Linked DNA regions of Styela clava. The protein of the gene in region 1 purifies or fractionates together with the protein of each later gene. This does not show direct contact. Links are inferred from orthologs where the notes say so. Each region holds a gene or a part of one and is shown on either strand. Other genes may lie near its edges.

Region 1 (7,743 bases):
ATATGGTTGGCTTTAGGGTTAGGGTTAGGTAAAAGAGGACCTCCAGAAGTATGTGCACCAAGATGGCGCACAACCTGAAAATAGTATGTGTGTGTGTGTGTAGCGGATTCAGGTTGTGCGACATATTGCTGCACATACTTCTGGAGCACCAAAAAGGTAGATAAAATTTCGCATGATGACCTATAATCCGGTACATAACCTTGTAAATATGCCGGAAATAGCGCCATAAAACCATGGCGAGAGGCTCCGTGGTTCTTTCGTGGCAGGAGGTGGTAATGACTGCGTCTCCTGTTTTGCGCTGTTTCCCTCTGTTTTGCGCTGGTTTCCTTCTGTTTCGCGCTATTTTGTGCTGTTTCGCGCTCTTTTGCACTGTTCTGCGCTCTTTGCGGTGTTTTGCGCTGTATTCAGTAAGTAGTAAGACCCATAAAATTGTAAACAACATGAGGAATGGAAATAGAATTGTGTTTTTTTGTGATGGTACTTTAGACAGTTAGAAGGAGCCTGTTCTGTTCTAATACTCGGATACTGTAATATGCATTGTAAGATATTATCCAATAACAGAATAACATAAAAATTTTAAATTAGGCTGTCACATGACCAAAATTGCTGTTATTAGCTAAAAACTTTCGGATGCTACGGTAATTTTATTTTTCCTTTGGTAAATAGGATTATTTTTTCTCAAGGAATTCAATTACTATTCAATTACATTACTAGATTGCGCTTTTTTGTAGTATTTTGCGCAACATCATTATACTGTATTATTACCGATATTGAGGGACAACAATGTACAGACGTATCCCAAAGGAGGTGTGTCTGATCATCTGTAAAATGGGTTTCTCTGAAACGGGACAATGTCACCCGATTTGTATAGTGTGCCATATGTTTTCTGTTAAAGTAAACCCTAGAATTAGATATATTCGTGGAAATGGCTTATGTCAGTATGTTACTTGTGGGATAAGTTAGTTTAACTTGGGATACTGATACTTTTAGCAGAACCATAAAAGTACTGTACCACAGTCCACAGTACGATTTATTATCATCAAGATTTCTTTTTTCTGTTTATCAGTAATCCAGTAGTGTGATGGTTTAACATTATTAAATGATAAAATGGATATTGATAGCAACTTTGATTTGGAAGATCGTATAAACACTTTTTCTCAGTGTTCCTCTATACTGAACATCAATGAAAATAAACTTGCGAAACATGGGTTTGCTTACAACACAACTCTAAATTGTACTGTATGTGTTGGATGTAAGAAAACTATATCTGGATGGACAAGGACAGATCAGCCCTGCAATATGAGATTTCATGAATTAGGATGCAAATTTGCACAAAGACTATCAAATGCTACTCATACTAATACCTCAGCACATGAAGGCTCACCGTGTACAAATCAATCCATTGGTGCAACATGTAGTAGTAGTAGCAATCAGAAAAAATTTAAACATTCTTCACCATCATATAAGTCTGAGGAAGGTCACCCAATGGCCTGTTCGCTTATTCCAATAAATCCTGAGCATACAATTGATCATCGATGGAACAGACAAGTGAAAAGTTTACCATACATGATTACAAATAATCCTGCAATTGAGGAGAGGATGGAAGTAGAGTTTCCAACTGAAATGAATCCATTATTAAACCAAAGTTATTCAAACTCGTCCTGTTCTCGTGAAATTTCTCTATCTCAGGCTTCAACTTCAAGGGAGCCAAGACATTCCAGGCCACTCAATTCAAACGAATTGACTGCTTTTCTTGCAGTTCATGATATGAAAATAGCAAAACACAGATTAGAAACTTTCAAAAGGTTTTGGTCAAGAAATATCGTTTTCAAGAATGTTCGATTGCTTGTTATATGCGGGTTTTTCTGTCTTGGTCAAGATGATGCAGTAGAATGTTTTTCATGTCGTTTGATTCTCGCAAACTGGAGTAGGGACGATAATCCACAAAGCAGGCATAGACAACTTTCACCTCATTGTAGATTTATCAGAGGTGAGGATTGTGGTGCTATCCCACTTCCTCCACAAGTACGTGAATCCGATCCATCGATTGGACCACAATCAAGAAGATTGTTACATTCAACTCAAACTCATATTACTCAATCTCCAGAATTTATATGTGAACGACAAGAATTGCTCCAGCTACCAGCATTGCATCTGAATCCACCATTGGCGGCCATTGAGAGGACAAATCTGTTATTGGAGTTTCCATGTATTAACCCAGCTAATCCGGCAATGAGAGAAGAACGAGCGAGGCTCAGAACACTAGAGAATCCTGAATTTCGTAGAAGAACTAGACTTCGTGCATCGAATGAAAGGCTTGCTCAAGCAGGAATGTACTATGTTGGTGATGGTGACAGAACAAAGTGCTGGTTCTGTGATGGGGGATTGAAAGATTATTTGCCTGAAGATGATCCGTGGGTAGAACATACAAAGTATTTCCCACAGTGTGAATATCTTTTACAGCAGCGTGGACCGGGTTGGGTCAATGAAATATCTGCTCAAAATCCTGATGTTGCCAGACCGATTCTTCCAGTGAGAGAAAGACATATTTTACCAAATGCTTCACATGGTTCACAGTCACCTTCATCTGAGGTATCAACTACACAACATTCTTCTGCTTTATCGCTTTCAGGTGAAAATCCTCAACAGCGATTGTTGCATCAAGCAATGCAATCACAAGCTGTTCAAATTGCACGTAGCATGGGATTTTCTGAACAGCAAATTAGGGAAACACAATTGACAAATATCAATATTAATGGAACAATTTTTCAGACAGCTGAATCGTTAGTTGATGCATTGCTGCATTGCAATGGTGCAACAGATCAAGAGACAAGTAGTGGGTCTTCAGTTCAAGGAATTAGCTGTTCTACTGTACAGATTACTCCACAAGGCACTGTGTTAAATTTACCTGACCAAACCATTCACATTGTTGGTGGAAATATTACTGCAAGATCCAATATTTCTGTACCATCATCTCATTCACATAATAGTCCTGCTTTCTCCGAAGCTGGTCCATCCAATAGCAACAACAGTGTATTGGTAAATGGAATGCCTGTAAATCAATATATGAATCATGTATCTCATGCTCCAAGGAATATTCAAATTGAAGAAGGTGCCGGGTCAAACCCAGCACCTCCTTCTGGCAATGGTTTAGCAGCTCTTGGATTGGACCTTCCTTTATCCTCCCCAATGCGTCGCATGACAAGACGACCGACAACAAATACTGTCACTGCTCCTAGAACAACATCACCTTCCACATCTGGCAATTCTACTCAGAGACTGGCAGAGTTGGAGAGAGAGAGAACTTGTAAGATATGTCTCACACTACCAGCAGATATTCTGTTTCAACCTTGTGGTCATATATGTTCTTGTGCTACTTGTGCTAGAAGGCTTTACAACTGCCCAGTTTGTAGGAGAGCAATCAACAGATTTATTAGAACTTATCATTCTTAAAAAAACAATATAACATTAGTAGAGTAGATGTTTGGAATTGTCATTCCTTTATAGTTCTCCTTTTACGTTTTGAAACATGGCCAGGCAGTTTTTGTTAACTAATTAATATCTTACACCAACTGTTAAATGTATTTTGACAAGTAAAGAAAGATTATAATCTTGTTATGTGATACTTTTTGAAAATATTGGTGTTTAAAATGTCACTCTTTATTACATGTATGTGTAAAGTGAATTAATATGCCTTAATTAATATATGAATGTAGTATCAAGGTTATCAATGTATGAATCACCATTGGCAAAATATATTATAATAATTAACTATTTTGTGATTGCTATAAATTTATCAAAGCCATTAAACTGTTCATACACTTTCTTGTTGAGTCGTTCATTGTTTTTTTATGCCTTGATAGTTCAATTAAATGAAATGATTTTTTGACGTATCTCAATAATGGATATAATTGTTCCAACTTATGTATGATTATTGAATATCATGATCTGAATATTTGTATGCTGTTTAATCAATGATTTTTCTATGAATTTAATTTGTTTAAATATTTGTTGCCTTTAATCTTAGATAACATTTTTGTTCTCATTGTCTTCATTTATATAGGTGATGCAGGGTCAAAAACATGCTCATTATAAGGGTTATTTCTGTGTTAGAATATGTTTATAGAATTAGTTTCTTTCACAATTACTTTTTTATTGCATCAATTAAACCTATTTTGTTCATGAAATATGAGCATAATGATATTTAGATATTAGCTTTTTACAATATGTTATCCCAATATAAGAAGCCTGGTGATTATCCATTTCTTTAAATGCTTCAGTGTTGTTTTGACCCATAGTTATTTCAACCCATGTGTTATCTAAAACACTACGACTTTTCTTTATTATTCATATCTTTATTGCCTTGGTTACAAATAAATTCATTTTTGTTTTCCATTTTTTTAAAATTAATATCATGTTACATCGGCTTGATTATATTTCAGATGTGCATTCACGTAACATAAGTATAATTATATAGTGCTCAAATAGTTGTTTCAAATTTTATGGCAGTTATATTTTAATGGCATAAAAATGGCAACTAACAATGAAACAATATTATCTTCTTCACAACTTGATCTTGAAAGTGATGATGGAATGGAAATACCAGTGAGTGACAGCAGAAATTATTAATCTTGCTACAATATCTCAATCTAAAATATGACTACGGAGTCTCAGAGTTTGTGTTTATTGGTTTTATATTTGGGACAGTTGAAGTCTTATTTTTAAACTCTTTAGTCTAGGAAGTTAAATATGAATTTTCAACAGAAACTAAAGAGTTTGTAGGTAGTTTTTTGTTGTCAACATTTGGATATCATGAATTCGGTAGCTGGAATTGGTATTTTTTTAATCTGGAAGTTGTTTTTATCAAAGTGTCAGACAAAGCTCTTGTTCAATATTATACACCTGGTTTGAATTAAGTTATAATCAAAAACGGAAGAAACAATACTTGAAGTTTGGGTCCTACTGGCTGTATACATAGCCTATTGACTCTTAATTTCAATTTTTAGATCAATGTGAATGATGCTGAAATATTCCAAAAAGACATCAACACTCTTACAGTTGCGGATGTTTATAATATTGCTTCAAGTGTTGGAAGGGAATTTGAGAAACTCACGGATGCTTTTGGAGGTACGCATCATGCCTATGGGGTAACATAACAACTTGTTATTATGAAATTTTTTTATGTATAAAATATCAGTTCTGGGAAACTGTTCATCATTTAGTTCCTATATATTTATTATAATTAGCACACCATATAGATTGTATTGAATATAACAGGTTTACATGGCACTGTTTTCAATTTGAGCATTCTCCATTTCTACAGGGGCTATATTTTCCGACGTAATGCCAAAAATGATCAGAGTGTTGGAAATGTTGGAAGCTTTTGCAGCAAAATCTCAAAATATTTCCACAGATGTGGTTGAACTTCAGGTATCAGTTCAAAAATTACAAGCTGAAGAAAAAACAAATGTTACTAAATATAAAGAGGTAATATAATATGGTTACATTTGATGATCATGATGGGCTTTTGATGATCATGCCACTAACATCAATATAATGGTCCCTGCCTCTTGGTTACTGGTCTGCCTGTTTTTAATCAGCCATAAATAATCAGCAAGATAGTTGATAACCATCATGAAGAAGGCACATTTTTTGTAGATTTTTCAAAACTCCAATCCAGTCTTTATTAGCAGCTAAATTTTCAGAGAGTTTACATTTGAATGCAATGTTAGAAAACAAATTAGAATTATTTCAACATGACTGCTGGTGCCAACCAAAAAAATAATTTTTCTTAGTTTGCTCTGAATTCAGATATAATATTTCTAATGTATTTATCATGTTAGGATTTGGATATGGTAGAAACTGCTTGGCGAGAAGAAACAAGACAGTTGCTTCAATCTGTTGAGACTTTGCAAGAAGATAACAAAAAACTCACGCAGCTTCTAACTGAAAAACTGGAAGTACCGGTACTGCTTGTTTTATTGTGATCTTCTGTGGGCTTTATTAATGTTAATTTTCCTAATTTTAAAAATATTTACTACATAAGTACGTAGTATATCCTGATTTAAAATATTCTTAATTAATATGTTGTATATTAATGTGTTTAAAGTAATTGATTCACATGTTATTCCAGGCGCCTGTGGATTCTCAAAACAACAGTGACCAACAAGTTTCTGTTTTATCAATGCTTGAAGAGTCGGTTGAGAAAAAAAGAGATGAAATTCGCGAAAAAAACCTGCAGATCAAACAACAAAGTGCAGAATGTGAAGCGGTTAGTATTGATCAAGGCAATTTATGTACTGTAAACCATCACCAGGAATAAAATTTTAAAAAAATTTGCAGCTTTGGAGGAATATGTAGCAGCAGTTTTTATATCAATGTTTTGTATAAAATGAATCACTTGAAGGTAAGTCTCATGTCAAACATACCTAGTTCTAATGCTCCTTCCTCTGTTTTGGCACAAAATACTATTGTATAATCTGGCATTTGGTGAATACCTCACTATTTGAAAATTTTTAATGGTAAAGGTGAAACTTAAATCTTTTCTTGATATTTCTTTTCTACTACATTTTTAATCAGGCTTTACAATCACCACGAAAGTTTGAAAATTGAATAAAAATCATTTTTGTCTACCTGATTGTACATATGTGTCAATGTTTTATCACAATACCTCACATTTATTTAGTTATCTTCACAAGCGCAACAACTATCAAAGTTGAATGTTAATTTGCGGCGCAAAGTTGCAGTAATGGAACAACAAGCTTCAATCCTGGCAAGTCAAAATACTGATTTGGAAACTATTTGTAAGGAAAAAGATCGTCAAATCAAAGAATTACGAAAGAGGTAGTTATTATATTCAAGTCGAGAAATGAAATTTTCTTGACTTGTCATCTTTTCGCCAAAATTAGAGTTACTTTCTTGCTATGGATCTTGATCCTTTGTAAGTTGTTAGTTAAGTTCAAAATGAATGGAATTGAATGAATTATTTTATTTATGAAAATCAATAGGTTGCATTGTTTTAATACAATACAATACGTGCCAAAAGTAGCACACTGGGAATAGGTAAGTTGCCTGTCCTGACTGATTTTTAATGAAGAGCATTTGTTTTGTAAGCAGCACAGAAGTTATTAAATTAATTGTGCAAGTTTAGGCAAAATTCAGTCCTTCAGTCTACTTTTGTGAGTGATTTTTGGCAATAATTGATATTTTTCATCACATCCTTATTTATATTGTATGTAAATGCTGAGGAAATCCTATTCATGTATTTGCAAATTTGAATGATAGAAGATTTCTCAGTATTATTTTAGGCTCTTCCAAACTTGGTGATATCCAAATTTAAAGCATTGGTCTTTTTGTTAAGTGTTGTTTATTGATTTTATTTGAGTGTACTAGTGGGTGGTATTATGTTTATGAAAATGTGTACAGTTAGGTGGGCTAAAAGATTGAAATATTTGATCTGAATGAAGCATCTTCAACCACGTACAGTCTCTTTAATTGCCTATCAAATAGACCAGGGCTTCCCAAACTTTTGAGCTTGTGGCCCCTTTCGATATTTTAAAATTTTTTGCGATGTTTTTGCCCTGTTCACGTTGGGAATGCTAAACAGTTTGAAATATGCATTTTTGATATTTTATTGATACAGTGAATTTTCATCTTTTAGTAGGCCTATTCGATAACAAAAACAAACATGCATTTATTCAGATGAACCTCACTCATCAGTGTGATGCGTGCGCCTCCCTTTTG
Region 2 (8,242 bases), on another chromosome or scaffold:
ATTACTCGACCGTGAAATGGAGTTGAAAAAGGAATATACAGAACTTCATCAACGACATTCTGAAATGATTCGTTCCTATGTAGAACACATTGAAAAAACAAAAACTCTCCAACAACACCTTACTCCAGATTCTATTTCTTATTCCCCAATTCCTAAAAAGCATTTACCAGACAGTTTTGCCACGATTTCACCGTTGTCACCCGAAACACCGTCTTCGAGACAATTAGATTCAACTCCTGTTCAAGAAAATAGCGAACCCATAGAGGCAGCACGAACAAGACGGCTTGAATGGCAAGAGGGTATTGATCCATTTCATCCTAACATTAAGCAAGAAATAATTGAAACAATAAATAAAGAAGACGCTTTATCTAAAGAAGAAAAACTTGAAAATTTACCCATAGTCAAAGAAGATTTAAACAGCGATAGAACAAGCCTGGAATCAAACAGCAGCGGTCTCGATTCTGGCAACTTATTGAGCCACGAGTTCCAACAAAGCGTTCTTAAAATGGGGTTAAATGTGGACGCGTCTACTCCTCTTCATGGAGAGGGAGATGCTTCTTCTTTAACAAGACATCAGCAAAGTTTAGGAAAGATAGGAATTGAAAATGAAGCTTTCGAACACGGAGTCACAGCAAATCACGAATCGTTGTATATAGAAATGTGTGATAAAGATCTAGGAGATGTTGATGACGGTGCAGATATATTAGGAATGGGGAAAGAGTTAGAAAACTTAATGCTTGAAAATACTAAACTTATGGCGACAAAAAATGCACTTGATATTGTTAAAGATGATTTGATTCATCAAGTAGATCAACTTACTAATCAATTAACAATGATTCAAGAAGATCTAGAAAGGGCTCACCAGTCGAAAGAAATTCTCTCAAGACAAGTTTCTGAATTACAAACAGAGGTGAAACGACTTGAAAAAATAAACAAGGAAGCGGGAAATTCACCCTCAGGCCAAACCCCTGTTACACCCATTGGTGAAGATGATCTCACCTCTGCGCAACGGAAACGTTTCACAAGAGTTGAAATGTCGAGAGTTTTGATGGAACGAAATCAATACAAAGAAAGATTAATGGAATTACAAGAAGCCGTTAGGTGGACGGAAATGTTACGGGCATCTCGTGATCACCCAGCCGAATGGATGCCGCCCCCTTCAAAGGAAAAAAGTGGGTCTTCGATTTCACGCTTTTTTAGTCGTCTGTTTGGTCCCAGTACATCCACAACGTCTTCAGCAAATGTTTCACCTTCAAGGCAACGTATGAAGAAATCATCGTCGTCGTCCGTAGCGGAAGACGCAAAAATGCGACATAGTTTATCGGACTCGTTCACAACAGCACAATCAAATATGGGAAAGTAGCAGAATATGGCAAGATAGCATAATTTTCAATTTCACAAAAACTTTAATTTCGGTTCTTAAACATTGATTTCAAAATGTATGGAATATCTTTTCAAATGGACTATGACACATTTTTCCAGAAATATTTTCGAATGGTTTTCTTAGAACTTTAGTTTCAGTATTAGTAATCTAGGACACTCTGCACACAAGTTATGATCTCTCTGGAATATGTAAGTATTTAAAATCCATTTCTGGTGTCTATAAATTACCTGGAAAGCGGAATGGACTGGTACATAAATAATGTCCTTATTAATACACTCATTATAGGGACGGGTTCCAGTGTCTTTCACTTTTTATTCTAGATATTGAATACCTGAAGAGGCAACATACAAGACAACTTAATGTGAGATCTGTGAGCAAAGTACGACCTAAGCTATACTCATTATTTTAACTATGTTGAAATACATATTTTCACTGCTGTTTTTGTATGCTTATGTCGTACAATAATACCAACTTGACATTTGAAATCGAAAACTTTTTAAAAGACAAGTCGTGCCAGATTTCGAAGTGTTCTAGGATATTGCCGTCTAAAGGTTTATTATATTATTAATATTGTACTTCCTTCTTATTGCCCGTTCTTGCAATCTCTGGAATTTTCAAGAACAATTGGGCTTATATAGTATGTATTATTGCATATTGCGTAACCTTGCTTCATGTTCAAATCCGTGTATATTATTAATATTGTAAAGGTGTGTTAATCTTGCTATATAGGTAATCGATAAAGAAATTGGATGAACATGTTATGAACTATGTTCCTTTTTATATTGATCTTTATCCTGAGATTTATTAATAGTGTTTATATCATCGTAAAAATAATTGTTATTAATTAACAGTCAAATGTTGCCGATCAAATTATATCTTCATGTCACTGTGTATTTACTTTGAAGTATATTTGCTTTGAAATTTTGTCAATTTTGTTGAAAATGTTGTCATAGAATGGTAAAGAAAATTCTTTATATTAGTACCGCAGGTTTTTCTTTCGAATTATGGAAACTGACTATGCTTCTTTATTAGTTTAAATTTTTTCATTTAAATCATGCAAACGATTGTACAATTTTTTGTAGGGGTTTTGTTAAGGTTATTTTGTGCACATAAAAATTATCCTGAGGGTAGGAAAATTCGAATATTATAAGTTGTATGCCTTATTTCATTTGCGTAAATGCTTCATTGTTATCTGTATTTCAGTAGAAGCCTTGCTTCGGCCATTTCACTAAGACTTATTTAACTGTTAAAGCTGAATAGTAATAGCAGATACCACCATTTGAAATTCCAGATTTTTACCATTTCGTGAGTGTTACCAAATCAGTGTAAGAAATGTTCTTTCTACATACTGTTTATTAGATATGGCATACAACATCAACAAACATTTTTCAATTTCATTTTGATATTTTAGCATAGTCAATATGAATATGCTATATATGGTGCTGTTGTAGGTACAGAATTTTATTGCTTAATTATCAATCTTCTGTTGAAGATTATGAATATTTACACATTGCTGGTGCTTTTCTTTGTATAATAATGTTGTTATTGTGCTATGTGCAATCCCTAATCTGTCTTTATTTATGTATAATCTCTGAAGACACAGGTCATCTTTGGCCAGTGCAACTGCAAGTATAATTATTTAGATTGACATGGAAATGCCACTCAATAGAAAAGTTTGTTTATATTTTTAAATGATCCTGATAATGAAAATCCAAATTTTTGCGTCAGATACGGAACAATAGGATGCATCTTGGCTTTATTTTGATGATGGTGGCTCTCAGTACTGGTTTCAAATCTTATAAATTTGATCGTTTGTCTTGAAAAAAGTTGGTCGGAAAAGGTTTTACTGTGACCCCCATTTAGCCTATTTGCAACCCATGGGGTGCAGGAGGCCTAGTTTGAAGATTTGTTTGGGACATCCCGGGTCTAGTGTTTCCTTTTCATTTATGATATACTGTTTTGTTTTGCCGTCCTGTTACTGTGTCATTTTACTTGATATGTTACAAACACATTGATAATTAATCAATTTTCTTTCATTATTGATACTGTGTTCTATAGTTCCATCATCCTTACTATAATTGTTGTTCTGCTTCAAGATGGATGTTGTTGTTGTTTACTGTTTATAAATTTTTAATTATAGGATTGTCAGTATATTCGTGGGAAATGAAGAATTATAACAATCTAAATAAGGCATAGACAACATTTAAAAATAAATTTATCAGAATTACTCTTTTTTTCAATTTTTGGTCGTTTTGTCAAGAAATTATGATTTATGCCAATACTATTTTTTTTCAATTTTTAATTGTTTTGTTAAGAAATGATTATTAATGCTAACTTCAGCATACATACTATACTATAGTGTTCATGAACATTTGAAAATTGAAATCTTTGCATAAAAAGAGTTCTAGAATTTTAAACTATCATTCTTTTTTTCTGAGCCAAAGTAAATCAAAGAATCGATGATCGTAAGGATGTTTATTCATGACCAATCTTGAATAATTTTTTATTCATCTCCCTTTATTGGCCATACTTAGCCAATGATAGTTTGTGTGACTCAATGTTGCTCAAGAAACGCCTGCTGCAGTTTGAAAAACTTTTTTTGTGAAAAAGGATGCCATTGTTGTGAAATGAGCAGCAAGAATTATGTTTTGTTGTTTTGACAAAAATCAATAATATGAATTGAGCTCATGATTATTGTCTCATGAAGTTTGTGCTTTACTTGTTTCATGTTGTAGAATTTTGGTGAATTACTCAAATCTTTCAAGTTAGTATTAATAGCTCATTGATTTCATAACCTTTTTTCATGAATTTTTGATATTTTATGGATTTTGAAATGCTTTGAATTCATCTATCCGCTTGATAAATTTTGAATTTTGTAAAATCCCCAAATATTGTACGAAGCCATTCAATTTCATGTCTATTCTTATTAATGCCATATGATGTTCTAGTTTTTTTTACTGGAATATAGTGATTCGATTTAATTGAAAAGTTTCCAAATTTGGTTAAAGTTTCATCCTTATCTATATATTTGATACAATTGATGGCAAACTGAAATTTTTATTTTCAATAATGAACAATCACATCAATAATGCATAATCTGCATTCAAAGTATTTTTTGTCCCCTGTATTTCTTTTACCACATAATTTTGGTTCACATTAAAATTAAAATATTATGTTACATTTGTGATTAGAGGATAGAATCCATATTCAATTATAGTAAAGAAATATGCATATAGAAAAGTAATTTTACGACAACAGTTAATAATGACGTATGAGAAAAACTGGAAATTGTCAATGTTTTTGTTGATATTTTTAAATGTGTTTACGAATACACATTTCTGGTTTGTCCTTTATCAAAATCAGATACGTGAGGATGTCCATATGAAGATCGCAAGAACACTTACCCAATAAAGTTTAGCCGAACATCTTCAGAAAATACAGTAATTTAGTTGAAATATGTTAATTCTGAACTATTTATTTTGATTTTGATTCAAATGCTTCAAACGCTAATAAGGAATCACTACCTAAATTTTTATTTCTATCCAGATTGCCACTATGTTTAAAAATCTAGAAAAAAAATTTTTTATGTCAAAAATATTATTTTTGTTAATAGCATTATGCATGCTTTACAAGTAAAATATTTGTCTTCATTTTTTTGTGCTATATTTTATCCTCATATTATTGTATTTGCATCTAAAATACAGATTCTGATTAACTGCAATAGTAAAAGTAAGGTATATATTACCATATCCAGTTCGGTAACGAAAATAAACAAATAAGATATTACTTATTGTACAATAACCTGCTATTGTACACTCATCCACGAAGACCATAAAATGGCCAAGAAGACGTATGATTTATTGTTTAAGTTACTTCTTATTGGTGATTCAGGGGTCGGAAAGACTTGCGTCCTGTTTCGATTTTCTGATGACGCATTCAACACAACTTTTATTTCAACCATAGGTGAGTTCACCAGATTCCTTTTTGCTTTTTAATCTCTTTCAAGCACGGCTGCACTTTAAGATTTTAAGTCTTGTGATTGTCTTATTTCAAAAGCATTCAGTTCATGGATTTTTTCTTTACAATAGAGCCATGGATAAAAATAGTCCAGTTTGAAACGAAATCATTGTATGTTGAAATGTAAAATAAATATAAAATAAAATGTAAATGGAAAATATTTCATAATACTCAAATTATGGTAAAAAATAGATTTTTAAATGAATATTCTGGTCTCCGAATGGACCAATGTGATTTCTTCCAATTTCGAATACCACACATTGTGTTAAGATACATGGTAAAATCATGAGATATACATCGTAAAATAAATGTTATATAAATTAGTGATATCGTTTGGGCAATATCCTAACAAAAATATGTTGTAGAATATCTCGAATTACGGAAAAACCTATTTTTAATTGCCATCAGTTTCAATTGTTATTGTATGAAGAAATTCCAAATCAATGATGGAAGCAAAAGGTTTTGTTACATACATTCTGTATAGAGTTATTGGCAAGTTATGACAAGTCACGATTTTGCTGACATTGCGTTGCCCATATTGGTCATTTGACCTTCTTGCGTTATATTTGAGCATTGCTCACTTGTTTTTAGTTGTGCGGGTAACAGTCTAATTTTGCATATTGGGGGATAATTTGCTTAGATATTGTGTTGTATTGTCTAATTGTTATATAATAAAATTATTCATTATAAGTTCTATTATCCTCGTATGATTACCGGTAGATGATGTTTCCTTGCTAAAACTGAAATGTCATCTTAGCTTACTAGAAACTGTACACCAGTGGTTCCCAACCTTTTTTGTTAAATTCTCCCTTTCCCTATTTTGAAATCTTCATTCCTCCCTCCCCATGCATAAAACTCAACTTTATTTGTCAAATCTTTATTAATGGATTCTTTACTAGTGTTATGCACAAGTCGAGCTCCCGTTTTTGTACAGTTTAAGTAGATTAATATGTTTTCAAGAATAAGTATTATAGTAATAATAAAAAACTAAATAATAATAATATAACTACATCCAATACAGAGCAAACTTTACTCCTTGGAAGGGTATTACTGATTGAGTAATACTGATTGAAGTTGTGTGAAAGATAAAAAAAAAAATTGGTACCGGTATATGAAAGAATTTTAAAATAATTTTTCTTTGTTTTAGGTATTGATTTCAAAATCAAGACAGTTGAATTAAATGGTAAAAAGATTAAACTGCAGATATGGTGAGTCAGTGGGAATAATTAAACATTTCCATATTCTGAATCAAGCTTAAAACACAGATAAATCGTTCATTAACTGCTAAAATCATATGCAACCAACCTGGACCGAGTTATATTTAAAGTATTAATAAAGTTTTTTCATGCAATTATCATACTCTACGATCCATGATAAATCAGTACCGGCACTATTCTTTTATACACAAACCATCATCTTACGCAATGAACTGAAAGCAATTATAACGAGCATTCTATAGCAACTTCAATCAGAGGCACAGCCAGGATATTTTGAGGGGGATTAGAACAGTACTGTTGTTTGTTGAGCTTTGTATGGTTCACTTCTTAAAAAACGTTGCGCCCTATATATGAATAGAAAAACAATCTAAGCAATTTATTGACTGTGCGCCTTGTGGTTCGAAAAATATGGTTTGTGAATTGTAGGCTTATCTATTCCAATTCCATTGTATATATCAGAAGACTCACAACATTGACTCATTTCCATTCATCGATTTTGGCAATGACTTTTATCATTGATACATTGTATAATGCGACGACAGTTTGACATTGTCAATTTACTATTATATGTTACCAATGTGAATAAAGTTGATAGATTTTATCAAATTTTAATTAATGCACACTAATTTAAGGATGACCGAAACCGAATTAATTAGTATTCCGAATACATCCTAAAATATTCTTTTCGGGTATGAAATATTGAATGTGTAGTGTATTCGGAAATGGTCTGGAATTTATATACTTACTAATACGCTTTTCATTTCTTTTTGTTATGTAATTATTTGCGTTTGAAGTATAAATTTCATTTCAGGGATACTGCTGGCCAAGAGAGATTCCATACAATCACCACCTCATATTACAGAGGGGCAAATGGAATCATGCTCGTCTACGATATTACCAATCCGAAAAGTTTTGACAATATATCAAAATGGTTACGGAATATTGAGGAGGTGTGCTTTCTTTTATTTATAGAAATACGCAAGGCGTAGTAGGCTAGAGTCTAATGTTTAATATTCCATTGATTTTATCGCTGTATAACAGTTAGAATCGGGGCTTTGGGGTCAGAAAAAATCCACCCAACTCCAAACCTGTTGCCACTTTTAATTTGACTCCTACTCTTGACTCTAGGTTAACAAAAATTCCGACTCCGGCTTTCCGCACCATGTTGCGGAAACCATGTTTCCAACCCCGCCCAAATGTCTGAGAAAACCAAATTTTGGTAACTAGAACTGTCCCTTTTTTTAATGGCCTGTCGAGTTTGAGAATGCTTTGGCAACTCAATGCTTTTTGAATTTAATTAGTATCCTGGTTTGTCCCGTAATCATCATGATTCTGAATAAATAAAACATATTTACTCGTTTTCAAGGAGTTTGAATTGACTTCAAATTTAATACAAACGTGTCAAATTCCAGATCTTCAACCCTGTTTATTGAGTATTCTTTGATCATTGATGAATGGTCTATTTATTCATTCATCATACTGCGTTAAATGTCGATTTCACAAATTCAATATGGACAATATTTATATTATTGAAAGATTTATCTATGCTTTATACCTATTAGAGACTTAGAGAGAATTTCGAACTTCAGAGATATAATTCAAAAAATGTTGAAAGTTTTTTTCT

The links.
Region 2: the proteins of RILP-like protein 1 (region 1) and ras-related protein Rab-10-like purify together in Homo sapiens (co-immunoprecipitation; 3 studies listed by BioGRID and IntAct, with this or other methods). This does not show direct contact. The link is inferred for Styela clava from reciprocal best matches to the Homo sapiens genes RILPL1 and RAB10.

Annotation. Positions count from the first base shown.
Region 1 is NC_135253.1:320,353-328,095, reverse strand, and holds the start of RILP-like protein 1, read left to right. Parts: upstream 1-4,463; 5' UTR 4,464-4,530; coding exon 4,531-4,605; intron 4,606-5,006; coding exon 5,007-5,127; intron 5,128-5,323; coding exon 5,324-5,487; intron 5,488-5,843; coding exon 5,844-5,966; intron 5,967-6,133; coding exon 6,134-6,271; intron 6,272-6,685; coding exon 6,686-6,843; intron 6,844-7,743. Other genes in the region: inhibitor of apoptosis protein-like, read left to right, coding at 1,108-3,453. UniProt on the Homo sapiens protein: Plays a role in the regulation of cell shape and polarity. Plays a role in cellular protein transport, including protein transport away from primary cilia.
Region 2 is NC_135264.1:13,765,832-13,774,073, forward strand, and holds the start of ras-related protein Rab-10-like, read left to right. Parts: upstream 1-5,079; 5' UTR 5,080-5,220; coding exon 5,221-5,347; intron 5,348-6,548; coding exon 6,549-6,609; intron 6,610-7,429; coding exon 7,430-7,568; intron 7,569-8,242. Other genes in the region: C-Jun-amino-terminal kinase-interacting protein 4-like, read left to right, coding at 1-1,363. UniProt on the Homo sapiens protein: The small GTPases Rab are key regulators of intracellular membrane trafficking, from the formation of transport vesicles to their fusion with membranes.